4 linked regions of the Tamandua tetradactyla genome follow. The protein of the gene in region 1 binds, or shares a complex with, the protein of each later gene. Links are inferred from orthologs where the notes say so. Each region holds a gene or a part of one and is shown in the gene's direction. Other genes may lie near its edges.

What was found.
Region 2: POLE3 (region 1) and POLE share a complex: the UniProt entries of both Homo sapiens proteins name them as parts of the DNA polymerase epsilon complex. The link is inferred for Tamandua tetradactyla from reciprocal best matches to the Homo sapiens genes POLE3 and POLE.
Region 3: POLE3 (region 1) and POLE4 share a complex: the UniProt entries of both Homo sapiens proteins name them as parts of the DNA polymerase epsilon complex. The link is inferred for Tamandua tetradactyla from reciprocal best matches to the Homo sapiens genes POLE3 and POLE4.
Region 4: POLE3 (region 1) and CHRAC1 share a complex: the UniProt entries of both Homo sapiens proteins name them as parts of the CHRAC ISWI chromatin remodeling complex. The link is inferred for Tamandua tetradactyla from reciprocal best matches to the Homo sapiens genes POLE3 and CHRAC1.

Annotation. Positions count from the first base shown.
Region 1 is NC_135328.1:33,728,513-33,736,840, forward strand, and holds POLE3 (DNA polymerase epsilon subunit 3), read left to right. Parts: upstream 1-5,207; 5' UTR 5,208-5,339; coding exon 5,340-5,405; intron 5,406-5,490; coding exon 5,491-5,576; intron 5,577-5,911; coding exon 5,912-6,030; intron 6,031-6,302; coding exon 6,303-6,475; 3' UTR 6,476-7,906; downstream 7,907-8,328. UniProt on the Homo sapiens protein: Accessory component of the DNA polymerase epsilon complex. Participates in DNA repair and in chromosomal DNA replication.
Region 2 is NC_135331.1:1,212,047-1,219,713, reverse strand, and holds the start of POLE (DNA polymerase epsilon catalytic subunit A), read left to right. Parts: upstream 1-4,403; 5' UTR 4,404-4,445; intron 4,446-7,667. Other genes in the region: PXMP2 (peroxisomal membrane protein 2), read right to left, coding at 332-494, 1,988-2,104, 3,849-3,970. UniProt on the Homo sapiens protein: Catalytic component of the DNA polymerase epsilon complex. Participates in chromosomal DNA replication.
Region 3 is NC_135343.1:48,888,120-48,895,415, forward strand, and holds the start of POLE4 (DNA polymerase epsilon subunit 4), read left to right. Parts: upstream 1-4,239; 5' UTR 4,240-4,244; coding exon 4,245-4,463; intron 4,464-4,906; coding exon 4,907-4,991; intron 4,992-5,686; coding exon 5,687-5,728; intron 5,729-7,296. UniProt on the Homo sapiens protein: Accessory component of the DNA polymerase epsilon complex. Participates in DNA repair and in chromosomal DNA replication.
Region 4 is NC_135332.1:87,005,230-87,013,458, reverse strand, and holds the start of CHRAC1 (chromatin accessibility complex protein 1), read left to right. Parts: upstream 1-5,077; 5' UTR 5,078-5,206; coding exon 5,207-5,353; intron 5,354-6,949; coding exon 6,950-7,076; intron 7,077-7,728; coding exon 7,729-7,847; 3' UTR 7,848-8,229. UniProt on the Homo sapiens protein: Forms a complex with DNA polymerase epsilon subunit POLE3 and binds naked DNA, which is then incorporated into chromatin, aided by the nucleosome remodeling activity of ISWI/SNF2H and ACF1.

The DNA of each region.
Region 1 (8,328 bases):
CTAATCCTATAGTTTGGAATTCTCTTCCTGCCCTACCTCCCACCTACAACCCACTAGGCTGCTCAAATGTTAGGTCTAGGCACAGATGTTACTTCTTCAGGAGAGTACCCTGAGTTAGGAATCCTACCTGTGTGCTTTCACCCAACCAGGGCACACTCATCATGTAAAATGGTCCTTGCCTATTTACTTGTCTGCATCCCTAACCAGGCTGAAAGTCCCTGCATGGTAAAGACTGTAAATTGTTTAATGCAGTATCCCCAGTGCCCAGCACAGAGACCTCAACTAAGACCCATTTATTAATTGAATGAGTGACTAAAGAATGAAGTCATGGCTTCTGACTTCAAAGGGCTTAAAATCCAGCTGGACAAATAGGGCATAGGCATAAAAGCATAACGAAGCATGTCAAGGGACAAATGCTGGAGTAGTTTGGAAGAGAGAATACCCAGGACTAATGGCAAATGATGAAATTCAGTCTTGACAGAGGACTTATCCATTTATTCAGCAAACACTTATTGAGCTCCCACTATATGTTATGTGCTATTAAAGACACAGAAGTAGAACATGGTCTTTCCTCTTGCGGACCTTTCATTCCAATGAGGGGAGACAAACAATGAACATGCAAACAAATCAACAAAAAAATTTCAATTCATAAGAACTGAAGAGTTAAAAAAGAAAAAAAAAACAAGGTTTAATGATAGTGAGGATAAGGGAAACTTTAAATAGGTGATCAAGGAAGGCCTCTGTAAGAAAGCAACTTTTAAGCTTAAGCCTGAATGACAGGAAGGAGTTAGCCAAGCAAGGATCTAGGGCAGTGTTTCTCAACCAGGGGCAATTTTGTCCCCAGAGGACAATGTCTGGGGATATTGCTGGTTATCACAAACAGGGGTGGAGTACTATAAGCAGCCAGTGGGTAGAGGGCAGGGAAGCTGCTAACATCCTGTAATGTACAGCACACCACCACACAACAAAGAATTACTCAGCCCAAAATGTCAATAGTGAGTCATTGAGAAATGCTAATCTAGGGAAAAAGTGTTCCTCTCAGAAGAAACTGCAGGTACACAAGCCCTGGGGTGGGAAGTGTGGAGTGTACAAAAGCCCTGGGGTAGGAAGTGTGCAATGTCTGAGGACTAGAAACAACACTGTGACTGGAGTCTAATGAATAAGTAGAAGAAGAATACAAGCTGAGGGCCACAAGAAAGACAGGACCTTATAGGGTCTTATAGGTCATAGCAGGGTGTTAGTGAAGCAGAAAGGGGCAAGAGTCTTTAAATTTCCAGGAACGGCATAAACAGCATCAGAGTGAGAAAAGCAGAATCAGAATATCAGTTTTGCTCTGAGGTGCCAAAGAAGACAGACTCTGTGATTAGAGGAGAGTCAGATGGTAAAGAGTCTTCAACTTCAGAATAGGAAGGTTTGGATCTCTTCTATAATAAATGAAATGCTGATGAACAGGGTTTTTGAGCAACAAGATGATATGAGGACAGCAATATTTTGGTAAGATTAATCTGTTGGAAGTATGTAAGGTGGTTTCGAGGGGAAGAACCAGGGCGGCCAGTTCAGAAGTGACTATAAAAACCCACACGTGAGGTTACAAGGACCTGGTTTAGGATAGAAGGAATAAGACTAGCAAGTGAGAGATACTAAAAGAAGAATGCACATAATCTAGGAGCTGACTGGATGAGGCAACTCTGACACAGCTTTATTCTACACACCATTAGCATGGAGTCGGGTGGAAGTATGTACCTGTGTATGGATGTAAAGCACATTACAGGTTCTGGCTGGGAGATGCAGCTATTTTCCCGGGACTTGAATCCTAGAGAACCTGAAAGTAGCCCTACCCTTTCCTATTTCTCTAGCCAGAGAGAAATCTCGGGCTGTTTAAACAGAACAGGAGAGAAAATAAAAATAAAAATAAAATACACAGAACAGGATAAAAGAAACCACTATGAGAGTCACCACTGGTGATTCCTGGCTGGCAACAGGGTCTTCAGATTTTTAAAGTCTAAAGTTTCCATAGACACCTGTCCCTTAGCTTCAAATAAGCTCCAATCGTGTGCCTATATGAAGCACCCAACTCAATAAGCACTAACTGGGTACCTAGACTTGGTAGGAGGTTCCAAGAAAAGCCATTCCTTCTGCTTTGAGGAGCTTACAAAAAGTTTTATGCTTAAAAAAAAAGATACAAAAGAGAGTATGTACGGACACAGTATTCTGGTGACCTATAGCAGTTGATGGGATAGCTACAAATTAACCAACTCCTAGAACACAAGTAGAAATGCTTTATTTTTATTTCTAACTCCCTATTCACCACTTCTGTGACTGAACTAGGGTTTTCTTTTTAATCTAGTTTTCTCAAATTCTTCTGTATCAGTAACGGAAGTCACAAACTAGAATTTTGACATAGTAGGTTTCTAAAGGAAGATTCCATGAAAATCCACCTGCCTTGAAATTTGTAGTCAAACTTCAAACACCGAGACAATAAAGTGTGAGTCTTAACGAAGGTAAGTCCTGACAGATGACGGTGAGCACGTTTCTTAGCCCGCAAGCAGGAATTTGAGACATTTACAATGGTGAGAACTGGGAGTTTTTCTGAGAAAGCAGACCAGAAGAAAACAAATGATATGTCACCTGGATAAAAGAGGCCAAACAGGAACAGGTGAAGGACCTTGTGAGGAAAGAGACAGGCTGACTGATTCACCTTCAGTGTTCAGGAGAGGTTTGCAGGAACCCAGGATTCGAGGATGACCCCTCTCGATCCTGCGGATAGCTTCCCAGCATTGTGGATGCTGACAAACAGGCACGTTACAGGTGGTTTCATCCCATTGGCTCTCATCTGGCAAATTCATAGCTATGAATGGTATGGAATAAAAGGCAACATTGCAGCTTTCTAACTCTCTGGAGAAAACAACAACCACATAATTAGGGAGCATTATACATTAACCAGACAGTTTTCACCTTAATTTGAACTCAAAGAATAAAGTATTTCTAGTCAACCTATAAAGGTAAATGGTGGTCAGAGGATAATTAAGAATTGAGAAAAAAGCAAGTATAAAAACATCTTGGTATGAATTAGAGTTGAAGAAATTGGAAGCAGATTGACTTCAGAAAATCTCCCCATTGCCCATTTAACAGTTGAGTGACTTGGGACTTTAAAAATCTGAGCTTTCAGTTTCCTCATCTGTAAAATGAGAATAAGCCTATTTCATAGGGTTATTATAAAAATTAGCTAGCAGATGTTAAAAGGTCTGGCATATGACTCAAAATAAATAGTAACATCCATTCTTTTTTCCCTTCATTAGTCATTAGGAAGAAGACGCAACCATCTACAAAAAAGGCTTTTCAATTTACAACTAATATAGTCATAGAAATGCCCTCGGTGGCTCAAAAACACAAAGAACAACAACATTTCCTTTGGGTGACATGCTTTATTCTTCAATATGCTCCAGTTCCCATGCAGGTAGCCCAAATACCAACCATCAACGGATGGATCTGCTCAAACAGCAAATTAGTGGATTTGATGCAACTGCATCAGAGGCCATGTATTTTATAATGGCTTTATGGTATTAGGCAAGTGATTCCAGTTCTTTAAGTCTGTTTCCTCATATAAAATAGAGGGAAATAATCCCTGAGTAGGATAGTAGAAGCTTTAAATGAGATCATGTACCTTTATGTATGACATATAACAGTTCAACAAATATCATCTTCTCTCTCTAGAGAAATTCTACACAATCACTACCACTTTAAAACCCCAACAACTATAAGGGCAGTGCTCATTTTTTCTTTCTTTTATTCAACACATTTGACTATTGAATATTTGAGGGACCTGTTCTGGACAGGGAGAAAAATAATGAAGAAGATAAAGTCCCTGTTTTAAAGAGTTTATAATTTAGGCCAGTGATAGCAAACTCTTAGCCTGTAATTTCGCCTGAGTTGTTTTGTTTGGCTTGCTCTTTAAATGAGACAATATTTAAATACTGAAGTAGTCCATAATATACAGATTTCTGGCTCCTCTTAAAATTAAATCAAAATATTTGACCACACTAAGCCCAATTCCAATACCACGGTAATTAGCTAGGGCTAATTAGTCCAACCTCTTTAAGCCAGGAGTGCTATAACCATGTGGACAGTTCCTCGCCAGGTCCTATAGTCTCTAACTGAAGCAATTTCAGTTGTCATTTATCATTGTGTTTGCTCTGCCGGTTTTCTCATAATAGGAAAACTCTCCTCTGTACCCTCGTCTCTGTCAAAAGCATAATAACAAAAAACCCGACTTGAGAGGATAGCATGCTTCACCAAATAATAATAAGCAAGCATTAGTTCTCACTGAGAGTGAGATCTATTTCTACGTTTTTTAACAGGAAACCTTAAATTTCATGTTTAAGAAAATTAAAGATAAAATTTAAACCGCCACTATAAAACCATGGTAATGTTCTTGACTGGGAAAATGTACGATGAACAATTTAATGTACTAAAGAACCAATACAATTTTAACAGGTTTTATTTTCGAATGCTAAATGCCATGTTGCATCTTCATCACACCCAGTTGCTTCACACCCTTTGGTTACCTGCCCACCCTGAACTGAGCCCCCGAGGTCTAACCATACCCATCTCTCTGCCATCAACACTAGCGCTGTGCCGACAAAGTGGTTGGCGCTCAGGAAAGCCTAGATAACAATGATCATTAATATGATTATTACAAAATTGCGCGAAGTGAAAAAATTAAAGATAAACGTCAGCTACGGTAAAGTTGGGAAAATACCCTCCGCTTCGTTTCGGGAAAAGGAAGCGGCCTTCGGAGGCCTGGCTCCGCTGGCCCAAAGCCGATGCCTAGCCGCTAAGAGCCCGAAACTCGGTGGAATAACGCAGTACGGCGCCGGGCGTGGGTAGGCCCCGCCCAGGAGGCTGGGTTCACAACTTTTCCTCCCGCGCCAGCCCCCCGGTCGGGCCGTCGCCAGGCAGCGGCGCGGAGAACTATGGGGAACGGACGGAAGCCTCAATGACCCATCCTCAATTTGGTGTGAAACCTCCAGACTCGGTGATGGTGTGAAACAGAGAAACAGAACAGGGGAGGAGGGCGCAGGGCACTATGGGGCCTGCCGGTAGGTCCGGCGAGCCCAAATGACTGCAGAGAGAAACTTTCGGAAGCTACGGCGACCTGACATGGAGGCGTGGCTGGGGTAAGTGGGTGGGTATGACGCGCAGAGCACTATGGGATACAATGTGGACCGTGTGGGGCGGAACGGAAGCCTGGGTGGGTCAGACAGCAGGGACGCGGGAAGCCTGGACGCAGTAGCACCCTGAGGAAAACTGAGGTGGAGGCGCGGGCCCCTGCGGCGGCCATGGCGGAGAGGCCTGAGGACCTAAACCTGCCCAACGCTGTCATCACCAGAATCATCAAGGAGGCGGTGAGCGGGCGGGCCGGGGCGGACGAGCGGGAAGGAGGGAAACAGGTCTGGGCTAGCATCTTTGCTCACTTCTCCCTTCTCACAGCTCCCGGAAGGTGTCAACATCTCCAAGGAGGCCCGGAGCGCCATCTCCCGCGCTGCCAGCGTCTTCGTACTATACGCCACGTCGTGGTGAGCAGAAAGAGCTAGCCAGAGTACAGCTAGTGCTGAGGCATTTAGGGAGATGCAGAGAGACCCCCCTGGCTCAGATTTAGCGTCCCGGCGCCCATAAACCCCAATGCTTGGGTGCTACCTGTGAACCTGGACAGAGGTTCACGACCCTTACCCAGTTCTCACAATCTCTTAAATAACTTCGCATTAGCCGTTTGGTACAGGGAAGGGAGAAACAAAAAGTCATGCATCTTTAACGTAGGTTTCCTCACTCACTTCAGGGTGCTCGTTTTCCACCCACTTCATGCGTGGCAAGAGGGGGTCTGACAGCTCATTTTCTTCCTGTCCTCCGTTAGTGCAAACAATTTTGCTATGAAAGGGAAGCGCAAGACACTGAACGCCAGTGACGTGCTCTCGGCCATGGAAGAGATGGAGTTCCAGCGGTTCATTACTCCCCTAAAAGAAGCTCTGGAAGGTAATGACCCTTCCTTTTTTCAGCCTCTTAGAAGATGATCATCCATGGCCCTGAGGCTTTCTCAGCAAGGGTACCTTTTAAGTCCAGCAAGGGAATACTGGATGTGACTTGGAACCAGTTCAGTTGGCACCATCTCAGATCTGTTTTGTGATGTTGGGCGGGTTATTTTTCCTTCAGTGCCTCAGCTTTTCCAGCTGTGGAATGGAGTTAGCAGCCGAAGTCTGGTTTACTCTTCCAAACCTACCTCTTAACCGCCTCCTTCCTCCTTGCAGCCTATAGGCGGGAACAGAAAGGCAAGAAGGAAGCTTCAGAGCAAAAGAAGAAGGACAGAGACAAAAAGACAGATTCAGAAGAGCAAGACAAGAGCAGGGATGAGGACAACGATGAAGATGAGGAAAGACTGGAAGAAGAAGAGCAGAATGAAGAGGAGGAGGTGGACAACTGAAAGGGGTGGGGAGATGGAGGCACCTTGGAAGGTACCATGCTGAAACTGTGGTACATGTTTATGTGAAGCTTCTCCCTGCTGGGCAGAGTACTCTTAGGCTGAAGTGCCTAAGAAAATTGAAATAAAACTGACTAGAATTATCATTAAAACCAGGGCTTCCTAGACTCAGAGCATCTTAGTATCAGAATCCTGTTTTGTTTAATCAGTCTGAAGGTTATGACTTTTTTGACAAGGGGAATTCTGACCAGCTAATTGAATTAGCCAATTTGATCTCTCATGTTTAGTTATATACATGGTTAGGCCATTTTTGATCCTCATTTCCTCCTCCAGAAACAAAGTAATGATAACTTCCTTGCTGCTTGCTGTGTTCCAAATCACAGAGGTAGTTGAAGCTCAGGAAATCTTTGGGCTTTGAGTATGATAAGCCTATGTTTGAGATACAGTATTTGGCAATACCAACTTATTAAGAGGGATCAGAATGGTGTGACTTTAGGAGACTAAAAAAAATGGGAGAAAAATGAAACTGGTTCTGTTGTTTCTTCATTTGACAGTAGCATTAGTTGATTCTTAGTTTCTACAGACTCACTTGGCTTGGAGCCTTTTTGCATTGCCTATAGGCATTCGACTTACTGGGTTGGCTGTACTCTGGACATATATGCTTTCAAATTAGCAGTATAGAGGATAATTAACCAAGCTAGGGTGCCAGTGTCTTATTCTTAGCACAATAGATGGCTTAGTTTAGGTTACACCTCACTGCCTGCCACTATACAACTTGAGGATTTCTCTTCACCACCTGGAAGGTGTAAAATTCCAGCCTTTCTCTTACAGTCTATTCCCAGACTTGTGACTATGCCTTTCATTCTTTAATTCATGACAAGTTCCAAACTTCATCTCCTCTAGGTACAACTTTCTTCCTCTGTTTCTTTTTTCTTTCTCTGTCTCTCTTTCTCTATCTCTCCTCCATTTACCATTTCCATGTTCTCTCTCCCTCCTTTTCTCGCATTTTCTCCAATTTTGGAACTTTGATAACCTGCTTAATATCCAGAAGTGCAGGTTCCTCTGATTCCTTAGTTCTAATTTCATGTCTTTTAAAAATGATTTTGTAAAACCTCTCTGAACCTTAAAGAAAATCTGATGGTGCTCAGGAATCTAATTCCCCCCCCTCAAAGCGTCTCCTTTTAACTACTTTTTTTTTCCTTTTAACTACTTTTAAAGTATCTCTGTTGGTCTTTCTTAGCTTTTTTCTCTTTCCCTTCAGTGCCCCAAGCACTTTTTTGTTTGTCTCTGACTTGAATGCTTAGAGTTTGATGGGTAGTGAAGTGTAGGTTGGCATTGTTAAATGAATATAGTAAAAGGTTTCTTGATAAATGAGTGAAGAGTCTTGAAAAAATTATAATGCATTGTATAAATAAAATAAGGTTCTTATTAAAAGTAATGACTTCTGTTTCATCCTGCTTGTTTTTCAAAGTGTGCTTTTGGCAACCCACTGAACATGCCACATACAGTTCTGGCATGTGGGCTGGGTCAGACCTTTGTAAACATGGGATCCTGCATCACCTTCAATGACCAGCAGATGCTGCTCTTTCGTAGGCAAGGGAGCTGCTCTTTAGTCAAGGCAAGAGCTTTCACTGGCTCCTCTGCTGGACACCCTATACCATACTAGATTGTGAACAACTCCAGACATTTATTGAGCTCCTACTGTGTGCCTGGGATTGTTATAAGTGCTTTCAGGTATTAACCCTTAAACTCTAGGAGGTTGCACTGCTGTCATCTCCATTTTACCGATTATGGATATGCTTAGAGAAATAAAGGAACTCGCCCAAAGTTACATGATATGAAAGGCAAAGCCAGGA
Region 2 (7,667 bases), on another chromosome or scaffold:
TGTGTAGTATATGAAATAAGGTATACCGGACCCATGGAGGAAACGGATTAGACTGAACCAGTTATTGAAATAGTGAGAAAATGGCTCTGTGATTCTCTGTTCACACATAACACAAGGTCCAGGCTAGGCCCAGTGCCTTGGCCACCGCGGCGTGGGGAGCGGCTGGGACCTGGGGTGCAGTGTGGCCTGGGGATGTCCGTGCCTGCGGGAACTGGTGGCCCTGTGCCCCCTGCTGTGCCCTGCTCTCTGCATGCAGCTCCTGGACAGGAGCCCCTGGGGCGACAGGCAGGACACCCAGCGGAGGGGCTGGGCAGTGCGGGGCGACACCCACCTCCAGGAGGCTCATGCTCAGGAAGAACAGCAGCAAGTAGGCCGGGGCAAAGAGGATGCGCTCCAGGAGCAGCCGCCGGACACCTGCCCAGGGGGTCTCAGGAGGGATCCAGCGCTCCAGAAAGAGGTAGAAGAAGTGGCTCAGCGGCCCTGTGCAGAAGAACCTGGAGCCCCCAGTGGGGTGAACTGGTGACCCGCGCCCCCAAACCCTAGGTCCTGCCCCTGCCCCCCTGGGCACCTCAGCACTGACCACTGGGCCTGCATGGGCCTTCTGGACGATGCTTTCCAATACTGCTCCAGGCGTTCTTCCCTGTCCTGAGGAGGCCACACTTGTCCCTGCTTGGCAGCCTTCTCCCTTGCCCTCTCCTTTGCTGGTTCCGTACCCTCCAACTGGCAAGGCCTGGCTGCTCCCCACCCTTATCAGCTCCTCTCCCCTCTAAGGGAGCCCTTCCCTGAGGGTCCCAGGCTTCCCGGGTCCTGGGCTGTGGCCACCTTTGACCGTCACATCTGTCAGGAACAGAGGCGTCTCCTCTGTAGAAGGAAAACTCCGCATAGGCAGGACCGCGTCTTGTCTAGCACACTGCTCCTGGCCGCCGTAGCCATGGCGCCTAGACGGGCCCTGGCTCACAGAAGGCGCTCACACTAAAGCCCTAAGCGGAGCTCTTAGACTCTTCAGGTAACTAGCAAGGGCAACACCTGGAGCTGCACAGGCACCACTGCTACCTTTCATTCCACAGGACGAAGGGCACTGGGAAGGGAATGAGTCCAGTGCCTGGCCTTGTGGGGTGAGGGGCCTGCAACTCCAAAACATTCAGCAATAAAAAGGGGAGCAGGGATCCAGGACTCTTTCAACTTCTGACACTGAAATGATCTTTAAACAAGTGATTCACAGTTGTTTTTTCCCCACTATAAGACATTAAATGCCCAATAGCAGTGATTCTCAGCAGGGAAGAGAAATAAAATGTTGGGGATGAGAAGACTATGTAATTGGATAATTCCTTTGGGGTGCTTCTGATACATTTGCCCTCCCTGGAGAGTTTCTGCATTAAATACATGAGGGGAGAGACACGAGGACTGACATTAGTGTGCTGACAGGCACACAATGGTACTATGAACTTTGAATTTTAAAGAATCCCTCCAGATGCAGAAGACTTCGTAACAACCACTGAGCACACTCTTCTCAGACAGAAGCTCACGGTGGGTGTGGCTGGGTAAGACTCCCGAATCTCTGCTTTTGCAATTCAGAAAGTGGCTCACAAACTGCAGAATTTCAGAGGGATACCCAATTCTTTTCTGGTGTTTACACCATGAAAATATCGGCCCTATCTGAGTTGGTTTCACTCTCCCACGAGCCTAGGATGTTTTCAGGGTCTCTCAGTCTTGGAGTCTGATTTTAGGTTCTGGAGAGCTATGTTGTCCGTCTCTCAGTCCATTTTAAAATGCCCCCCACCCCTAGCCACCCATACAATTCAAAATAAAAAAGCATACTAAATTACAAAGTAAGTGAAGATAACTCCAACACCATTCTGATTTTTCCCATCATGATTACTTCAATGCTTTTTAAAAAAAGATTGCTTTTTCAAATTAGATGATTCAAAAAAACTGCTTTGTTGATTCTTAGTCTGCTTTGGTATAAACCAGCTTTATTGACACTCACCCATAAATGGCATATCTGAGAGGCCCAATGACATCTACATTTTGGGAACGTTTTTCTTTTTTCTGGTTCTTCTCAATTAGCTGAGCCAGGAAGTTCCCAAGTGCTGACAAAATGCCGCTGCAGACAGAGCAATCAGAAACCAGGGCAGTCAGTCTGAGCGCCCCTTCTCTGCGGGCATATTCACAGGTGCTCGGGGACCCTGCACGGGTGGACCGAGACAAGTCTTTAAACAGGCTGTCAGGTGGGCCACGGGGGCTCAGCAGGCAGGAATGCTTGCCTGCTAGGCCAGAGGACCCGGGTTCGATTCCCGGTGCCTGCCCATGTAAAAAATAATAAACAGGCTGCCGTCAAAGTTCCCTAAATGGAGCACAGGACTTAGCAAACGCACATGCACACACACACATACATGCATGCAATGTTCACGCACACACATGCCTACGGGGAAAACTGGAGAAATCTGAGTAAGGCTGGTGCCTGTACCCATGTGTGTTTCCTGGTTGTGACTACACTATATGACAGTACACTACAGCTCAGCAAGAGTATCCTGTGGTGGCGGGAGGGGAGGAAGGCGAATGTGGCTCCCCAAGGACAGCAGGAGAGTCCTTGAGATGATGGAGCACTTTCACCCTGCCTGTGGCACAGGCCGGAGCTGCTGGGCCCGCCTCCTCCATGCAGTAACGGGGCGCTCTGTGGGCAGCACTGTGCCAGGATGCAGCGGTGACCCTTACCTCTGACCTGGGCCTTGCCCCCCAGGCCCCTTCCCCGTGCCCCATCCCCTCCCCAGGCCTCACCCCTCAGTCCCCTGCCCTATGCCCCCCAGCCCCTCCCTGGACCTCAGCTCCCAGGCCCCCTGCCCGGCGCCCCCCAGGCCCCCTGCCCTGTGCCCCCCAGCCCCTCCCTGGGCCTGGCCCCCCCAGGCCCCTGCCCTGCACCCCCAGCCCCTCCCCGGGCCTCAGCTCCCAGGCCCCTGCCCTAGCCCCCCAGCCCCTCCCCAGGACCTCAGCTCCCAGGCCCCTGCCCTATACCCCCCAGCCAGGCCCCTGCCCTATACCCCCCAGCCCCTCCCCGGGCCTCAGCTCCCAGGCCCCCTGCCCTGCACCCCCAACCCCTCCCCAGGCCACAGCTCCCAGGCCCCTGCCCTATGCCCCCCAGCCCCTCCCCAGGACCTCAGCTCCCAGGCCCCTGCCCTATACCCCCCAGCCCCTCCCCGGGCCTCAGCTCCCAGGCCCCCTGCCCTGCACCCCCAACCCCTCCCCAGGACCTCAGCTCCCAGGCCCCATACCCCCCAGCCCCTCCCCAGGACCTCAGCTCCCAGGCCCCTGCCCTATACCCCCCAGCCCCAACCCGGGCCTCAGCTCCCAGGCCCCCTGCCCTGCACCCCCAACCCCTCCCCAGGCCACAGCTCCCAGGCCCCATACCCCCAGCCCCTCTCCGGACCTCAGCTCCCAGGCCCCTGCCCTATGCCCCCCAGCCCCTCTCTAGACCTCAGCTCCCAGGCCCACTGCCTTGCGCCCCCCAGCCCCTTCCCGGACCTCAGCTCCCAGGCCCCTGCCCTATGCCCCCCAGTCCCTCCCTGGACCTCAGCTCCAAGGCCCCCTGCCCTGTGCCCCCCAGCCCCTTCCGGGACCTCAGCTCCCAGGCCCCTGCCCTATGCCCCCCAGTCCCTCCCTGGACTTCAGCTCCCAGGCCCCCTGCCCTGCACCCCCAAGCCCCTTCCCAGGCCTGGCCCCCCAGGCGCCTGCCCTGCGACCCCCAGCCTCTCCCGGGACCTTAGCTCCAAGGCCCCCTGCCCCGGGTCCCCCAGCCCTTCCCCAGGTCTGGCCCCCCCGAGACACCCGCCCCCGGCACTCGGCCCGCGCACCTCGTGGTCGCCTTGGTAAGCACGGGGTAGAGCCGCAGGAGACGAAGGTACCCGGCCAGTGCCCGCCGCGGGAGCGTCCCGAACCCGGCCTCGCCCCGCAGCCTTGAGGCTACCGGCGCCATCGCCTTCCCCGAGTTCCCTGCCACAGACCCGTGGGGTCAGGGTCCGGGATCCGGGTGACAGACGGAGGACGGAGGGGGGGAGGTCAGGGTCCGAGGGGAGGAGCGGGGGTCATGGTCCTGGGGTCAGGGCCGGGGGTGGTCAATGCCGGGGGCGGCGGGGAGGGGCCAGGGCCGGGGACCGGGCGGTAAAAGGGCCTGGAAGGGGCCCGAGGCGGGCGCGCGCCTGCGCACACGCCACTCCGAGACCCGCGCGACCCCGCCCCCGGGCGCGGGGGGCAATGGGAGCGCCAGGGGGCAGGGCGCGCCGCGGCTCCTTGACTGGATGGTTCCGGCGTTGCCGGGCTCTCGCGAGAGCTGACGGGAGCGCGCCAACTTTTCCCCGGGAAAGTCTGAGGCGCGGGCGGAGCGGCGCGATGGTTCTGCCGCACGGCGGGCGTCGGCGCGTGGAGCCGGGCGCGGACGGCGAGGCCAGCCGGTGAGGGTCGACCCCTACCGGGGCGCGGCGCGAGGAGCGGCGGGGCGGCGGGGCCGGGGCTGCGCGGAGAGACGGGGCTCGGCCCTGGTCTTGGACCCGTCCTCGCCCGAGGCAGCCGCCCCGCCGGGGAAGTGGACAGAGTGCGGGGCCCGGGCGGCGCGGGGCGGGAGGCCTCCACGCTTCCGGGGCGACCCCGGGGCTGCCCCCGACGAGCCCGGGTTTCTGCCCTGCGGTCGCTGCTGGAGCGTCGGGGCCGCACCCGGTTCCCGCGCCTCGTCTCCGCGCCCCGGTCCCGGCAGCCCGCACTCCTTGCCGCCCCGGGATCTTCTCGGCATCGTCTCGCCTTGTCCCGTTGTTTTCTTCTTTAGATACTTGTCCTTGGGACCCCCTTTTTCCACAGCTGTGTCGGGATCTTCCCCAGAACCTGTAAAACGAGAATGAAGTCGGGTGGGAGGGCGGAGGTGGACGAGAATGGCGGGACAAGGCCGGGGGCCGGAGGGCGCCCCGAAGCCCAGCCCTGCGCGGACAGATGGGCCAGCAGCTGGGCTCCGTGCTTTATTCTCGTTGGTCGAGTCCTCGTGAAGCCCCAGGAGACAGATGCCGTGATTGTCAGCGTTTTGTACTTGAACCTGGGGTTTGGAGATGTGAGGTTCATACCTGCAGGCTGTGGAGAAACCTGTGCCCTTAGCGCGGCCACCCGGCTCGCGGCTGCTGTCCTTTCAGCAGATGCAAGGCTCTCCTAGGAATGAAACTGCTCTTGGGTGCTGCAGCTGGGGTCTAGACGCTCACTTAACCCTGACACAGCCGAGGAGCTACGAGAGCCCCGTGGGCAGTGGGCAGTGGGCAGTACCCTGGGCTCAGGCTGGTCAGGGGAGAAGAACGCAGCACAGACCACGCTGTCACGGGAAGAGTAGTCAGTAAACGGGAGACATTATTTTGTTACTATTATCCTGATTTCTTAGCTTTTGTAGGAGTCAGAGTTAGCAGTTTTTGAATCCACTTAATTCGACTCACTTGATGTGAGGAGAAGACATGGGTGATTCGGAGGAATGTAGTGTGGGAGGCTTATTTCAATCATGACCTAGGCCTCAGAATGAGCCTGAGTGCTCAGCAACGTTTGGAATACACTTTTTCTGGGTTTACAGGTGAATCTCGATATTTTAGAGATTGAACAGTCATATAGTATGCTGAAGGTTTTGTTCCCCATTGCTGCTGTGACAGATTACCACAGGGTTAGCTGCCGACGTAATACTGCCTCTCCTTGTAAGGCTGTGAGGTCACAGGTCCTGCTGCCAGGGTGCAGTGGGCGCATGCCCTCTGGGGCCGCCCCTCACCTCCTCCAGCTTCCACAGGCCACTGCGTTGTCGCCTTGTGGCAGACTCCATCCTCAGAGCCAGCGGCGTAGCACCTTCCAGTCTTGTCCTCTGGCTCTGGCCCTTCTGCGGACCACTGTGGTCACATTTAGGACCCACCCAGATAATCCGGGTTATTGCCCCATCTCAGGATCCTTAACTTGATCCCATCTCCAAAGCGCCCTAGCCGTGCAGGGGCACGTATTCACAGGTGCCAGGGATTGGGAGGGGGCACCGTTTTATTTCCCACAGGCGGTTGTACTCTCGTGATGTAAGGGCCCTAATCTTGGAATATGGTCATTCTGCTCTTCAGTGGAGGGGACCCAGGTTTTCTTAAGCAGTTCTGTGTCTGTTTCTGTTTATAAATCAATAACAGGTGAGATATGTTATGGTAACTAAGGGCCTGAATTCTGATCAGATTTGGTTTTTATATATGTCCATAAATTTTCCTTTCCTGGCCCCTGTTTTGGATATTTAGCTTGTTTAGATTGCTTCGTCTCTCCCCGTTATAAATAAAGCTATGATGAACATCTGTATATTAAAAACAAAGCTTTTCTGTACATCAGTTTCCCTGGCTTTGGAAGTAGCATTGCTGGGTTAAGTGGCATCAATATCTTAGAAACACTCTCACCTTGCAGAGAAATCTAATAGTGCTCAGATGGACTGGTCACATAGCTTCATCAAAAGAATTGTGGTATCCTAGGAGCGTTGAAACACACAGCAAGAGGCTAGAGTCTGATCCTGGGAGATGTGGGGTGGCAGAAGGGAAGGAATAAATATCCATGGAGAGTTGGGGAAGAACTGTTCTTTGGAACAATGTACTGCCCTTTGGAAGAGCTCTTAGGGAAACCGTCAGGAAAGCAGGCTGGCACAAGTGGGAGCGGGTGTATCTACTTGTGCCTGTGAGGCCGAGGCCACGAGCAAGTAGAGTGCACGCACCACCTCTCACCCCCCGGCCGGCACTAATTCAAGACCCGTACATGTTCCCTCTGCCGACTGCTTTATAGAGTAGCTCATGTATTTGTATTCAGACAGAAAAGCCTGGGGTATGGATTCTTAGCCATACGTTTTTGAGGAGTGGAGAATGTAAGTAGGAAATAAATAGGGCTTCTGCCCAAAATGTATACGCTTTAGAATCTGTAATCTTGTCCATTAGATGGGATCACACTGTAGAGTTAGAGTATGAGCAGTTTGGTGAGATTCTAAGGTCTGAAATCAGAGCAGATTTGAATAGTTCTGGGATCAAAAGTCTTCATCCAGGTACTTTATTTAAAGTTTGTGCTAAAAACTGTAAGAAGAGCTATTAGAAGAGCCTAACCAGAGAGAAGCTTGAGAAGTTTGAGACGGGTATATTGATATTATAGAACTGAGAAAGGTAAATTTCCTTGAGAAATAGTTCTTCTCTCAGAACAATTCTGTATCTCTATTTTTTAATCCATGTTCAGTTTGATATCTAGACCCTAGCATCCCAGAAGGACATACTGCATTTTTCATGTTTAGTTCTGCTGCAACCAATGTTTCTGTAACTCCAGTTAGCATGCAGTTGTAAATAGGAGAATGATGTCAGTAAAACCTGGAGACTGTACTGGTTCATTTGTGATTTTTCCTAGGCAAGGGGAGGCAGGGAGGGACCAAAAGAGAGGGAATAGATTATAATCTTCAGTAGAAAAGGAGAAGTCCAACAGTATATATAGTTGTGCATATATACTCCTTCACTCTTATTTTTTTTTTCAAGAAATTCTTACCTTTATTAGCTTTTTACTAAGAAACACTACATAAAGCACTATAATGGTTTAGACATTAATGTTTTGTTTCATACACATAATTCCTATAGCTGTTTTTTTTTAATTAATTGAAAAAAGAATTAACA
Region 3 (7,296 bases), on another chromosome or scaffold:
AACATCTTCGGGTGTGTTCCTCTTTCTAGAACATTGTAGCAGCCCAACTCTACCCCGTCAAATGGCTGGGGTAGTTTTGTCAGCATTGACCCTGGTTTCTTTCACCAAACAAAGGTTGACATTATGTTGAGGCTACAGTCAAGCAGTTGTTCTGTCTCATCTTCAGGTGATAAAACCTCATACTGATCTTCCCAAGTGGGTGATATTTGTCAAAACTGGTTCTGTGCTGAAGCCATGTCTCATGAATTCAGTCCCTTGGGGCCTTCCAGCGCTGGTTCTGAGAGCTTGGCTTGGCTCTGAGACCCTGAAGTTTCCTGGTCCATCCTAGTCTAGATGGCATACTCAGGATGGAGTGGAAGAGCTTGCACAGTTGTTCTATAGAAGAATTTGAAAATTAAATCTGATGAAACATCATCATAATATCCTAAATATTCTCCTGAATTAGGCTTAATTTAAAAAGTACAGCTGATTGTAAGCCGTAATGGGATAACTGATGATATGTAGCCATTTTATTGGCTAAATCATTTCATATAGCAGTTTAATCCATAACCGAAGTGCTTTGGTAACTTTCATTCATATATTTAAACACCTGAATTCTTAGGATCTCCTCTTTTTAAAGTAGTTCCTAAAGACCATACATAGCTCATAATCATTCCACTACTTCCTGAGATGAAGAAAATCCAGCTCTGTAATCTACGAAGCTAAAATGCAATCTACGGGAGATTATTTAGGGGAGCTTTGGCCCTACAAGATTGCTAATCCTGGTAGTTCATAAACTGTTCCAAAGTCTACAAGTCCCAAAGATTAGAGGGTAGAGCAAGTTCAATGCGTGGCAAGTTCAATTGATCAGTTTCCATTGAGAGAAAGCTAAATAAATGAGAGGAAATGATCCAAAGGGATCATTACCAGAATCTATCTCATTTTCAGGCTTTAATAATTTATAAAAGTCAGTCACATTTCTTTCATACTTTCAACATTCCCTGCCATTAAATGAAACAAAACAAACATACAAACTCTAAATTAATTGCCCAAGGCAGTGATTCTGAAGGTTGAAAGGATGGTATTCCCCTTATGAGAGTTACTAGAAACACTTGATTGGAATTTTCAAAGGATACTTTGCCAGTGTCTGATACAACTCTGTAGGCAGGGGTCACTTCCAGGTGAGTCACTGCTGATGAGTCATTCATTCAGTAATCTTCTATTACTAAGTGCCAGACATTGTACCACAGACTGGAGACTCAGGGAACAAAAGCAGAGACACTGCCTGAAAGGCGTTTACAGTCTGGGGTGGCAGGGAAGGGGAGGAGACAAACATTAAATAATCACACTGGCAAATGCAGGCTTGCATTCAATGATCAGTACTAGGAAAGGTGCTCAGTGGTAGGAGGGATTTAACCTGTCTGAGGGAGAGTGGGTTGAAGAAGGCTTCCATAAGGAGGTAAGGCTGGGATTTGAGGAAAGGTGAGAAAAGTTTTCCAGGCAGAATTGCTGAAGAACTGAAGATAAAAGCTATGTGGATAGAGTGTAGAGAGGGGAAGATGTACGATGGGGCTGGGGTGGGGGGTGGTGAGTTTTGGGGGGGATGGCTAGAAGGAGACTGACCATGCAAAGCCTTGACACCCACATTGAGTTTGTATTATTTCAGTCAAAATTGGGGGGGGGGGGGGAATTGGGAGAACTGCCTAAACAATTTCTTTTAACGATGAATTGAGTAAGAGTAATCGTTTCCTTTTTATCTTTTGTTTTTCCTTTTATTTTTCTCTCTGTGAGTGTCTGAGCATTCCTGCATTCCAAGGTTTCTGTGGCCAAGCTCCTTTCCCTTTCCCTTTTTATACAGTCCTATGGATTTTTTTTTATCTACCATACCCTCTGTTTCCTTGTGATTTTTAACCATTTGACCCTCAAACGTGTGTGTACACACAAATGCATATACAATAATATACACATATGTACATACAACATGCACATATATACAATTATTTTTTAAAAATAATTCAGAGATGAAGTGTTACCAGTGTCCTCCACATACATATTTCCTGGAAGAACTCTTACCCCAGCAGGGTAGATGGTAAGCTGTCTTTAACCACTAATTTATTACATAAAATGCTTCACATAACATTTTGTTTTTGTATTAATTTTCCTCTTGTAGCCTTTTAAAGACATTTTTAAACTTTCATTCATTAGAACTGATATGCAAACATTTTATTTTCTTTCTTGGCTTTTTTGACCTTTGTTTTCCTGTTTCTCCTGCCTTTTTTGCCACTGAAATTCAAAGACAGAAAATATGATTTCCCTTTTGAAGATACCTTAATGCCTTTCAGGGCTTGGTCAGGAAATCCTGAGTGGTCTAAATGAACCTCTTTTTGTTATTATAAAACCTGGGAAAGGAAGGTGGGACTGGGCCAAGTGTGAAAATGTTCAAGTGGTGAGGCAAAAGGTGGCATGGGGGGAAGAAAAGGGAAAATGTGAGTAACAGAGAAAAATGTGAAGAAAGAGTGATGGAAGGGAGAAACCTTTAAAAGCCAACTTAACTCACTCCCTACCTTAAGTCCTAACTCATCCTGCCCCCATGATAGTCAACTCTATTTTGCCAACTCAAAATTTTGGCTACAGTTAGTAATTTGTCCTTTGAGATTGCTGAACTGTTGCTCCTGTTAAGTGCTCTACTGAAGATACAAGAATCCCACCATGCCTTTATGGATCTGGTATGGAGCTTTCCATGCATTGTAGTGCCCACAAACTAACCTGATGACGGACTCAAGAGAAGCCTTAAAGTAGGCTCTAGTGAAATTTTCAGTGACTCAAGACTCCCCTTCTGCAGGTTTTAATTCTGGGCCATGCTGTTTGCTGTACTGTAGCGGAGCCTCTCTGTGCTAATTCAGCCACTTGCAGGGTTTACCACATAAATTTTGGAAAGGAGAGTGATTTCCAGTATCATTTAATCCAACTTCATTTGGGTTTTAACCACATTCCAGCTGTGGGTGAAAGATCAACTACTCTGCCTCAATTTCATCAACAGTAAAATGAAGTTAAAATATCACCTGTCTCAATAGGGCATTATGAAAATTATGTAAGGAAATGACTTAGCACTTTTAACCATGCACATAGTAAGTGCTCAAAAAAATGTGAGCTACTACTGTTAAAACTGACAGATTAAACCTGATATTGTAGATATGAACTATTCTATGCTAGTGTGATTTGTCATGGGTCTATGAAGTCAGAACTATTTTTTGAATAACGCTAGGAAGAAATTTCTTTTTTATTCTCGTTCTCTCAAGATGACAGTATTTTTCCAGAGCTACCCGAAAAGTGAAAACGGGAACATATTGATAAAAAAGCAGCTATGAAAATCCAGTTGTCTATTGAGACAGACAAAAACCTAAACCGGATGCCACTTTTCTCATTAAATTCTTTATTTTCGAAGTTACTTGTCATAGCATGTTACTTATGTTAACTTGAAATGGGATTATTATTTTAAATGAGTTAACATTTTAAAATCGTTTTATTCTCTAACGCCCATAGACACAACCTATTGAAACAAAAGCTCTTTGAGGTCCGCAATAATTTTTAAGTGTGTAAAGAGAACCCCGAAACCAAAACGGTGATGAACCAATGCTCTGGCGCAACCCATCATCAACACGGCGGCCGCCCGCCCTCACACCTCTGCGCTCTCCAGCCTCGGCGACTTTCTCCTCGGCAGGGAAACAACTTCTTCCGTTTCTGCAAGCCAGAGCCAGAGCCAGAGCCCCACCCCTCCCGTAAGAGCACCTAAAACTTGGCTCTCCCCGAGCCGGCTCCGGATCTCGCGCCCTCTTCGGCACCCCCGGCCCCGGATGCTGCGCGCGCCCGGGCACCCCGGCCTCCCTCCGGCATTTGCTCTGCCCGCCGAGGGTGATTGCCTCAGCTGAAACCCTCTCAAGGGTCGGGTCTGGACAGCCCGGTCCGATCATCGATTTTATTAAAGGACGGTACCTAACTAGGCTCGGCCGCACCGGAGGGTCCCTGGAGAACGGCCACGGAGTTACCGGGGGCCCAGCGGCGGCAAGGTACGGGACAGAGTTCACCCACAGGCTGCACACTCCCTACCGGCCCCCGCCTACCCGCCGGGCTTTCCCCGGGCCCCGCCGCGAGAGGGGAGGGGCCACGTGCCCTCGGGGGCGTGGCCTCCGCCCCGCGCGGGAAAGGGGCCGGCGCCGCGTGCGCGCGCATAGTCGGTGGCCGCGCGCAGCACGCTGGGGGCCGGGATGGCGGCGGCGGCGGTGGCGGCGGCTGGGAGCGGGTCGCCCCGGGAGGAGGAGGGGCCTGGTGGGGAGGCGGCGGCTTCACAACCGCCAGCCCCGACGAGCGCGCCTGGGGCCCGTCTCTCGAGGCTACCTCTGGCGCGAGTGAAGGCCTTGGTGAAGGCAGACCCCGACGTGACACTCGCGGGACAGGAGGCCATCTTCATTCTGGCGCGAGCCGCGGTGCGGTGCGCCCCGGGGACTGTGTGGAGCGGGAGGGCAGTGAGGGGCGGGGCGGGGCGGCTGGGCGAGGCTCAGCAGTGGGGGGCGCTGCCAAGTAGGTGCTGGGAGACCGAAGGGAAGGGGCAGATACCTACAGTAGTTGTGTTGCTTTGTTCATACTTGTGGGCATAGTCTTTAATTTGCTTTTTCAGTGCCTAACAGAACTTGTAGGAGTCACGGGTGGGGTGAATTTACAAGTAAGGGAGGAGGGCCGCGTCATTCTGTGCTGCTAAGGGAAGGGGGAGGAGAGGAATAGACCTTTATGACGTCCAGAAGGACCTTTAATTCCCATGAGAACCTCCCCATCTATTCCCAGAACCGCTTCTTCTCCGTCCCCCGCAGGAACCTATCTGTTCACCGCAATTGTGCTGGAATCCACTGATAAACTCTTGTTTGTTTAACAGGAACTGTTTGTGGAGACCATCGCAAAAGATGCCTACTGTTGTGCTCAACAAGGAAAAAGGAAAACGCTCCAGAGGCGAGATCTGGGTAGTGTGTCCCTGTGGTACCTGGGAGCGAACAAAGGAGGTTGGCCCAGGTTTCCCCATTCACTGCTTGAGGGGGCCTCGCTGTGCCGCTGTGCGGTGAGGGTGCCACAGGGTCTCTCACAGTGCTGTTTCCTGTGGGCGTGCCGTAGTGCCTGAAGGCTCTACTTGAGAGTTTGTGGGCATTGGGTAGCTGGAGGGGCAGAATATGAAAGGAGGTAGGGGTCTCCAAAGCAGGCTAGGCCCCTTCACACTCTGCCCCGTGGTATCAGGCTTGACATGTCTTTTTCCGTAGAAACTGTAGGTTTGATTTCTGGCTCTTCTCTCTAGCTGGTATTGTACTGCCCTTTTACAAACTTTCATAGATCATTTGCTCAAATTTCTTTGATGACTTTCAGAGCAAAGGGGATAAATCGATTTAGGTTTAAACCAGGAGTGTACTAAGGACCTCTTTCACCTTCCCCCAGTGAACAGCATATGCCCTGACTTTTCTTACTCTTGTGGGGAGACAGTTGATGTGTAGGAATTGATGGTGGAGCAGAAATGGATCTCAATGCAGGCTCAAGACAGCAAGGGGCACATTTTATGAATGTTCTCTTTTGCGTAAAGCTCATGCCCTTCATTGTGTGGATTGTACCGTTTTGGGCTGAGGTTCAAAAGACCTCAATTAATCAGGTGTCTCTTTTCCTTGTTTTTCAGATAATGCAATAGAAGCCGTAGATGAATTTGCTTTTCTAGAAGGTGAGTTCTTCTATCAGTGGGTAATCAGTTTCTTCTGTTCTAATGATCTGAGTTCACAACCTTACAAATTGAATGCCTGATTTGTCCTGTTTGTGTTGGGATAATTCTTTCTTCCTACTTCCTATTAGTATAGGAGAAACTAACTTGCTTAGTTTTCCTCCTTTGGGGAGTTAGAACTTCTACCTGAAAATTGCTAGCCATAAGGAAATAGGAGGGAATAAAAAAAACCCCATGAATGATGGATTCAGAAACTTGATTCCTACTTTGGTTTCTATCCCTAGATAGAAATCTTTCTCCTCATCCTCATGTTAGAGATAAACAACTGCCAACATTTAAAGGGCAACTTTTTTGTTCCTTTTTCTTCTTCAACAATCTGTGTAAAAAACATTTTTTTTTTGTATGCAATGAGAGTCTGTATTTCACTTTGTTCGTAGGAATTTTGGGTTAACTCATGTATACTAACTAAATCTTGTCATTGAAAAAGTAAACATTTGAAGCATCTCAGTTTAGCTACCTTTTCTCAGAACTATTTCTGTTACTTAATTCTTAAATCTGATTAGTTTATTTTTCACTAAACAAAATTCTGATTGAATAGCTTTTGGAAAGCCATGTGCCCTCAGTTCATTCTCCCTGCCGTGGTGTTCTCATTATCTCCTTTAAAATTTACTACCTTCCAGAAACCTTTTCTTGATTTATTTATTTCACTTGTTTTTTTAAAAAACTCCTTTCTTCTCCATCTCCATATTTACCTAGACCCCAGGCCCTTTTCATGTATCTTTTAAATGTCTTCTGGATACTTGCGTTCTTGCTAATTCCCATGGCTATCTTCAAGACTAGATGAATTTAACTGCAAATTTGTATATTAGTCTTTAACTTCTTTTTCTGCTCACTCATTTTTTCTTAATTTAACTTTAAAAAATTTCTTAATTTTTGTCCTTTTAGTTGCCTACCTAAGGCAGTCAGCTTCCTGTGAAGTTCTCCAATCAAAGATTTTGGAGCCTGTTTTACCTGTTCATATTTAAGTATCAGCCTCTTAAAGCAATAGGTGATATGATCAAAGTTGAGTTTTAAAGAGGTACTGCTGCTTCCTGGTGGACAATAAATTGGAGGATGCCAGGAATAGAAGTAGAGGGATCTTAGGTGATTTTCTACCCCACACTTCTCTGTGGCTCTTGATATCCAAATCTGCCTCCTCTTTGCATTCCATGGCCAGTGTCAGCTACTAAGGAGTTTATTCTTCTCTTCCATAGTATGGGGCAGTTCTTAATGTGCCATCTAGCATTTACCTTGTATTGTTTAGTTGTTCCGTGTATAATTGGTATCCTCTTATAGACTCCAGCCTCCAACGTGAAATAGTGCCTAGCCTGAATTTTTAATAAATGGCCGTTTATGGAGTATTTGATGTGTATCTTCATCCTCCCCTCCACTAACCTCAGTAATTGAATCCTTTTTCTCGATTTTGACTGTTTTAGCGACTGTGGACTCAATCTGTATGTCTGGTAAAATAATGTTCTTATGTCCTTAGATGTGTTTGTTCTAAGTAGATAATTCTTTTTCTCTTTTTTGGT
Region 4 (8,229 bases), on another chromosome or scaffold:
TGCCTTTTGTATTATATATATCATATCTGACTTTCCTTCTTTCTACACTCTTTTCCATACCTCTCTCTTCTGTCTTTTCGTATCTGACTCTAGTGCTCCCTTTAGTATTTCTTGCAGAGCTGGTCTCTTGGTCACAAATTCTCTCAGTGACTTTTTGTCTGAGAATGCTTTAATTTCTCCCTCATTTTTGAAGGACAATTTTGCTGGATATAGGAGTCTTGGTTGGCAGTTTTTCTCTTTTAGTATTTTAAATATATCATCCCACTGTCTTCTAACTTCCATGGTTTCTGCTGAGAAAACTACACATAGTCTTATTGGGTTTCCCTTGTATGTGATGGATTGTTTTTCTCTTGCTGCTTTCAAGATCCTCTCTTTCTCTTTGACCTCTGACATTCTAACCAGTAAGTGTCTTGGAGAACGCCTATTTGGGTCTAATCTCTTTGGGGTGCGCTGCACTTCTTGGATCTGTCATTTTAGGTCTTTCATAAGAGTTGGGAAATTTTCAGTGAAAATTTCTTCCATTAGTTTTTCTCCTCCTTTTCCCTTCTCTTCTCCTTCTGGGACACCCACAGCATGTATATTTGTGCGGTTCATATTGTCCTTGAGTTCCCTGATCCCCTGCTCAAATTTTTCCATTCTTTTCCGGATAGTTTCTGTTTGTTTTTGGAATTCAGATGTTCCATCCTCCAAATCACTAATTCTATCTTCTGTCTCTTTAAATCTATCATTGTAGGTATCCATTGTTTTCTCCATCTTTTCTACTTTATCCTTCACTTCCATAAGCTCTGTGATTTGTTTTTTCAGTTTTTCTATTTCTTCTTTTTGTTCAGCCCATGTCTTCTTCATGTCCTCCCTCAATTTATCGATTTCATTTTTGAAGAGGTTTTCCATTTCTGTTCGTATATTCAGCATTAGTTGTTTCAGCTCCTGTATCTCATTTGAACTATTGGTTTGTTCCTTTGACTGGGCCATATTTTCAATTTTCTGAGCGTGATCCATTATCTTCTGCTGACGTCTGGGCATTTAGTCAGATTTCCCTGGGTGTTGGACCCAACAGGTTGAAAGATTGTTCTGTGAAATCTCTGGGTTCTGTTTTTCTTATCCTGCCCAGTAGGTGGCGCTCGTGGCACACGTTTGTCTGCGGGCTCCACCAGTAAAAGGTGCTGTGGGTCCTTTAACTTTGGAAAACTCTCACCATTGGGTGGTTTGCCAGCCGAAGTGGATTGGAAGAGTGCCAGCCGGTTTGGGGGTCCGAACGCGGGGAGAGTCGCCGGCCGCCGCAGCCTGGGAGAACGCCCGTCCGAATTTCCTAGTCGGCCCGAGGCGCCAAGCGTGGCGGGAGGGCGCCAGCCGCCGCAGTAGGAGGAGAAAGGGAAGGATAAGATGGCGGATGGAGCGCCGCCGGAGCAGAAGGGGATAGAGAAGGGTAAGATGGTGGCGGGAGCGCCGCCGGCGGAGAAGGGGGAAGAGGAAGGCTGGATGGCGGCGGGAGCGCCGCCGGCGGAGAAAGAGGGAGAGGAGGGCTGGCTGGCGGTGGGAGCGCCGCCGGCGGAGAAAGAGCGAGAAATCCTTTTTTCATATATATATATATATATATATATATAAACATATTTATTGATAAATCTTAAGATACAAACATACAAACATTCCTTATATGGTGCACAATCAATGGCCCACAATATCACATAGTTGTGTATTCACCACCGTGATCTTTTCTTAGAACATTTGCATCACTCCAGAAAAAGAAATGAAAAAAAAACTCATACATACCATATGCCTTACCCCTCCCTCTCATTGACCACTAGTATTTCCATCTACCAATTCATTTTAACCTTTGTCCCTCCTATTATTTGTTGATTTTTTATCTATATTTTTTACTCATCTTTCCATAGCCTAAATAAAAGGACAAGCAAACACAAGGTTTTCACAATCACCCAGTCACATTGTAAAAGCTATATGATTATACAATCATCTTCAAGAAACAAGGCTACTGGAACACAGCCCTACAGTTTCAGATGCTTCCCTCCAGCCACTCCAATACATATCCATATAAAGGGATATCTATATAATGCATAAGAATAACCTTTAGGATAACCTCTTGACTGTTTGAAATCTCTCAGCCACTGACACTTTTTATCTCATTTCTCTCTGCCCCTTTTTCCTTTTTTAAACTTTTTTAATTGCATAGTATAACAAATATATGAAGCAAGCAAAAAAATAAAAAAGCAATAGTTTTCAAAGCACTCTTCAAGAAGTAGTTACAGGACAGATCCCAGAGTTTGTCATGGGCTACCATACGATCCTCTCATATTTTTCCTTCTAGCTGCTCCAGAACATAGGAGATTAGAGGGCTTAAATATATTTTTATCATCACAATCGACTTTTTTTCCTTCTTTTTTTTTTGTGAAAATAATATATATCCAAAAAAGCTATAAATTTCAAAGTACAGCGCCACAATTAGTTGTAGAACATATTTCAAAGTTTGACATGGGTTACAAGTTCACAATTTTAGGTTTTTACTTCTAGCTGCTCTAAAATACTGGAGACTGAAAGATATCAATTTAATGATTCAGCATTCATGTTCATTTGTTAAATCCTATCTTCACTGTATAACTCCACAATCAACCTTTGATCTTTCCATATCTCTCTTTACGGGTGTTTGGGCTATGGCAATTCTAAATTTTTTATATTGGAAAGGTCTGTCACTAATATGGGATAGGGAGATGGAACTATCTGATATTCCGGAGAGGCTGGGCTAAGTTTCAGGACTTATTTGGACCAGGGACCCATCTGGAGGTTGTAGGTTTCTGGGAAGTTACTCTAGTGCATGGATCCCTTGTGGATCTTATATATTGCCCTAGGTGTTCTTTAGGATTGGCTGGAATGGTCCTGGTTGGGGGTTGGCAGGTTACAATACATAGCAAGGTCTAACTGAAGCTTGTGTAAGATCAACCTCCAGGGCAGCCTCTTGACTCTATTTGAACTCTCCCAGCCACTGACACTTTATTAGTTACACTTCTTTTCCCCTTTTTCGTCAAGATGGAATTGTTGATCCCATGGTGCCAGGGCCAGATTAATCCCTGGGAGTCATCTCTCACGCTGCCAGGGAGACTTTCACCCCTAGATGTCATATCCCATGTAGTGGGGAGGGCAATGACTTCATTTGCAGGGTTGGGCTTAGAGTGAGGCCACATCTGAGCAACAAAAGAGGTCTTTCAGAAGTTACTTTTAGACATACCTATAGGTAGGCTAAGCTTCTCTGCTACCTACACAAGCTTTACAAGAGTAAGCCGCAAGATCAAGGGGTTGTCTTGTCGATTTGGGTGTCCCTAAAGTTTGACACAGTATCAGGGGATTCCCTGATGGTAAATTTAAATATTTCCATATTTTTTCTCCTATCCATCAAGGAACTTTGTTAGGCCTAATTTTAGGTAGGCTTAACCTATCCTTTGGCAGTGATAAGTTTCATAGGGTTGAACCCCAAGATTGAGGGCTCAAGACTATTGATTTGGTTGTCTCCACCGCTTGCGAGAATATCAGAAACACTTCAAATGGCAAGTTGAGTATTTCCTCCTTTTTCCCCAGTGCCCCAAGAGGGGGTGGTCTTGCAAATACTTCTTTATTCACTGCCCAAGTTACTCTGGGATATACTGGGGGCATCATACTAACCCCGACAAACCCATAATCACACTCTAGTCAAGAGTCCATGTACTCACTGTGCTCAATTAAGCTGACCATACAAGTGAAATTAGGAAATGCACTACCCAAATATAAATTTTGCGCAAAATAAACATCTCTCCCTTTGGTCTCAAACAGAAGTTGAAGTTTTAAAATATGGACGATATTATTCTTTACCCTATATCCTGATCTACCTCAGTCCTATCCAGATCTGCTTCATTCATAGCTCTGCTGGAAGTCAGACCCGTTTTCCAACTTTTTAAAACAATTCCTGAATAGGATACTGCTGGTTTTCATAGTTTCAGAGCTCTAATTTTGAGACTCAGGTGTCACATAAATACATAAATACTCAGGTGTCACATAACGTTTCTGGGAATGACCAGGTTATAAAAAACAGCTCAGTATGAACAGAGGAATCCTTCTGTAACTTAAGCCATAACCATCATTCATGTAATAAAACTCTGCACCAGTTTCCCATTTTTCTTAGAATGAAATCCAACAGGGAGCAAGCAACCTTGGCTCAGTGGTGGGGCTCTCACCTGCCATGCCAGAGACCCAGGTTCAATTCCCGGTGCCTGCCCATGTAAGAAAAAAAAAAAAAAAAAGGACAGAGTCTAGACCCTGACTACTTCTGGGATCACATTTAGCACACCTGCGGTGGTCTCTCTTCGCATCATTAAAAGGTTAACTCCCACCTCAGGGGCTTCGCATTTGTTGTTCCTTCTCCCAGGAAAGCGCTTTCTCAGACATTGCTAGGGCTTGCCTTCTCTCTTCCCCAGCCGGTAAGCCTTCCCCACCACCCTGGATAAGACAGTATTCCCCGTTAGTGTGTCTGCTGGCACGGCTTCGTTTTCTTTCATGGTAATTCTCACTACCTGACAGTATATTATATATTCGTTTATTTTCTGTCTTTTACTCTACAATGTAAGCTTTAGGAAATGCGCTGCTAAGAACCGGGGTTTGAAACCTATCCTCACCTACTGGCACAACTCTTACTTGGCGTTCAAATCGGGGTCGGCAGCACCCTGCCTCCCCTCGGGTTCCTGAGAGGGGTGAACACCCCGCCCCCACAGCTCCTTCTAGAGTAAAGCCCAGGATTCCGCCCTGGCTCCTGTAAAAGTGCCTCTCACCCCTCCGTTCAGGGCCTGTCCCGTGAGCAGGCTCCAGACTCGCCCCCGCGTACTCCAGGCGCTGGCGGGCGCTCTCTGGCTGCGGGCACGCCATCCCCGCGCTCGACCACCAGCCGTGAGGAACGCGGGAGAGCCCCAAAGGGGAAGGTCCAGGCGCGTCCGCGGACGCTCCGCAGGCACAGTCCGCGCAGGCGCAGAGGCGCGGCGGGCGCGGAGCATCACGGAGCCTGTAGTCCGCTCCCGTTCCGCACCTCCCCGACACTACAACTCCCACGGGGCAGCGGGACGCCGGCTCCGCGGCCCCAACTTTGTTTGCCAGCCACGTCGCTCGCGGCGGAGGCGGCGTGCCTCGCGGTTGGGTCAGCCGCGGTTACCGCCTGCGGGGAGGGGGCGGGAAGATGGCGGATGTGGTCGTTGGTAAAGAGAAATGCGGAGAGCAACGGCTGGTGTCGCTGCCCCTGTCCCGCATCCGGGTCATCATGAAGAGTTCTCCCGAGGTGTCCAGCATTAACCAGGAGGCGTTGGTGCTCACAGCCAAGGCTACGGTGAGGCTGCGTGCGGGGAAGGAGTGAGAGGCGGGGGTGGAGACCGCCCCCTAACCGCCGCGCCCCGCCCCGCTGGGTCCCGCTGTGCTGTCCGGTTCTCTTCGGCCCGCGCGCCGCCAGCTTCTTTGCGCGGGCTCGCGCGCCTCTCCAAGTTGCCTCTGCACCCGCCGGCGCGCGCCCCGGTGCCCGCACGCTCCGCCCACGCCCTTCCCAGCTGCGCCCAGCTCAGCCCGCGGGGCTGCCACCCTCCGTCGCGCGCCCTCCCGTGCCCTCCCGCCAGCGCCCCGCCCACCGCGCTCCCGGGTTTCTTGGGCCCTGGGCCTTCTCGTGTCCGGGTATTCCGAGCCGCAGAGCTGTTACTTGCCGGTGTCCGCTCTGTTCCACGGTTCTGGAGCCCCACCTCCCCCTAAACATCCGTGAAATGCCCGCGAACCCTTTCTCGTACCGTGGCGGCGCGCTTGGGCGGTCCTCTGGCATATTCCATTGAGCCGGCCCCCAGAACGCAAGTCCTCTGGGAGAGAAACTAAAAAGTAAATAATTGAAACTTTCTTGCCGCCCGGAATCAGAGACGGAGCGAGCAGCGAGTTCTGGGAGCCTACCTGCTCCCCAGATCACCCCACATCTCCTAGGCAGAACATCCCACAGCTTAATTTTACAATTTATCCTAGTGCTCTATTCCGTGAAAAATAGATGAGCTGCTTGTGGTCTCCGAACACTTCCTGTTCGGAGGCTGGGCCGTGCCTCAGCTGTAGTATTAATTGCCTTAACTTGCCTTACTTCCTATTTCCAGTCCCTCTGGCTCGGGACACGGTGTCCCTACAGTATGCTGGACTAGAGCTGAGAGGCGGGGGAGGGAAACCACAAGTTTCGTACCTGTTTTTTGCCAGAGCCGTAATTACTCAGAGCCCAGGAAAATATTTGCACATTCCACATGTAATATTGGGATTTCGATGTTTTCTTGTACAATTTCATCTGTTAGTATTAAGGAGCCAAGATTTAGGCAGGCATTTCTTTAATCCCTTATTAAACGAACTAGATGAATTAAAATATACGAAATAAAAACTGAGGGAGAGAGGTTCAGTTCAGATTGTTGCTTTAGGTCAGTCTGTGGATTATGTATGTGTTCCTGGCATAAGGAAAATGGTTTAGGCAAAATGAGGATGTGCCAGTTTTGAGCTTCAAGTTGCTGACTTTATTATAGATCTAGTAAGCCGGTAGAAACAGTGCATTTAGATAGATGACTAAAAATGTGTCCTTGACCCAAACACTTTTTGAATGTCTCATGCTCCTTCCTTTAGGTGTAGAGATTGGTCATTAAACGTTTATGATTCATCACTTAATCACTTCTAAATATTTTTTGTAAGTTAGAAATGTAAACTAAATTTTCAGGAAGTGCCTGCTTCCCCATTAACTTTGATAGGGTCTTGCGTTCTTTCTGACCTCATGTTTCTCTTTTCCCCAGTGATTTCCTATAATTGAATTTGAGAAACCAAAGTAATTTTCAGTCATCTAAACTTAATGTAATTAAAAAGTTAAATTTTATCTATAATAAGTTTTCAAAGCTTACTTTCATTTTACTTTTTTGTTTTGTTTAAGGAACTCTTTGTTCAGTATCTTGCCACCTATTCCTACAAACATGGCAGTGGAAAAGAAAAGAAAGCACTGACTTACAGTGATTTATCAACTACCGCAGAGGGATCGGAAACTTTTCAGTTTCTTGAAGGTATTTAGCCTTTGAAACATTCTGGTTAAAAAATGCTTAGTAATTTACAGCTTTTTTTTTTCCTGTTCTGCTTTCACTGAAATAGACGTTTTGGTGCTTTCTCCAGGTGCCAAAGTTTACCATGACCTGGCACAAGAAGACGTTTTCAGTCTTCTGTTTGAATATGTTTGTTATGTGGTTCTAGACCAATAATGGAGTCAACAGTCTGCACAAGAATGTGTGGCTCGCCGGGTGGGTGAGCCTAGCAGACCCCACCCCCTCAGGATCCACCCTGCTATGGAAAGGGATACTCAGTATGGTGTTCTGAGTTCCAGAACAGGGAAAATAATATTTGCTGCTGGGTAACAGGACTGTAGCTAAAAAGAGCTTAAGTCTGCCTTTGGGTCCACCCAGCCCATCTCAGGTAGGTTGGGCAGGGTCATCAGCATAGAGAAACACCAGGGTATGTGCTAGAAACAGGTCATTGGCACCAGTCAGGAGGCAGTGCTAGTTTCTCTGATGTTTCACCTACAAACATAGCCTCAATTGTCCTGTTTTGAGACCTATTCTAGAGGTCAGTGCAGGAACTAGGACATTTTGAAATTTGCATCGATGTATTCATATCCATATGAATACCATAACCAATTGCTGACGTAAGCTTTATGTTTTTAAGATATATTGCCAAAGAAGATTTTAGCTAGTAAATACCTGAAAATGCTTAAAGAGAAGAGGGAAGAAGACGAGGAGGAGGAGGACAATGATAACGAAAGTGACGATGAAGCCGAATCCTAAACAAAAAATAAATGCTTTAAAAATCAGCCTGGTGAGGACCCTTCTGGATTAGCAGCACTGCTCTCCAGGAAGCCAAAAAGCCTGTGGGACTTTCGTCTCTCCACTTTTCAGAAACTTCAGGTAGACTGTGTTCTTTCCTATTCTTTCCCTGTTAAGGGAGGGCATCTAATGCACCCACTCTGTAAGCAGCCAAAGGCAGAGGAGCCCAACAGCAGCGTCTCTGACAGAGGGTCCCAGTCATCACCAGCAAAGGCAGCTTTGCTTTTTAATTGACAGATGGATTTTGAAGACTTTCTAAGTATCAGTTGTATAAATTCTTATATGTATATTTTGAAATTAGTTCTGATAAACAACTAAGACTCAGTTTTAGCTAAATGTATAG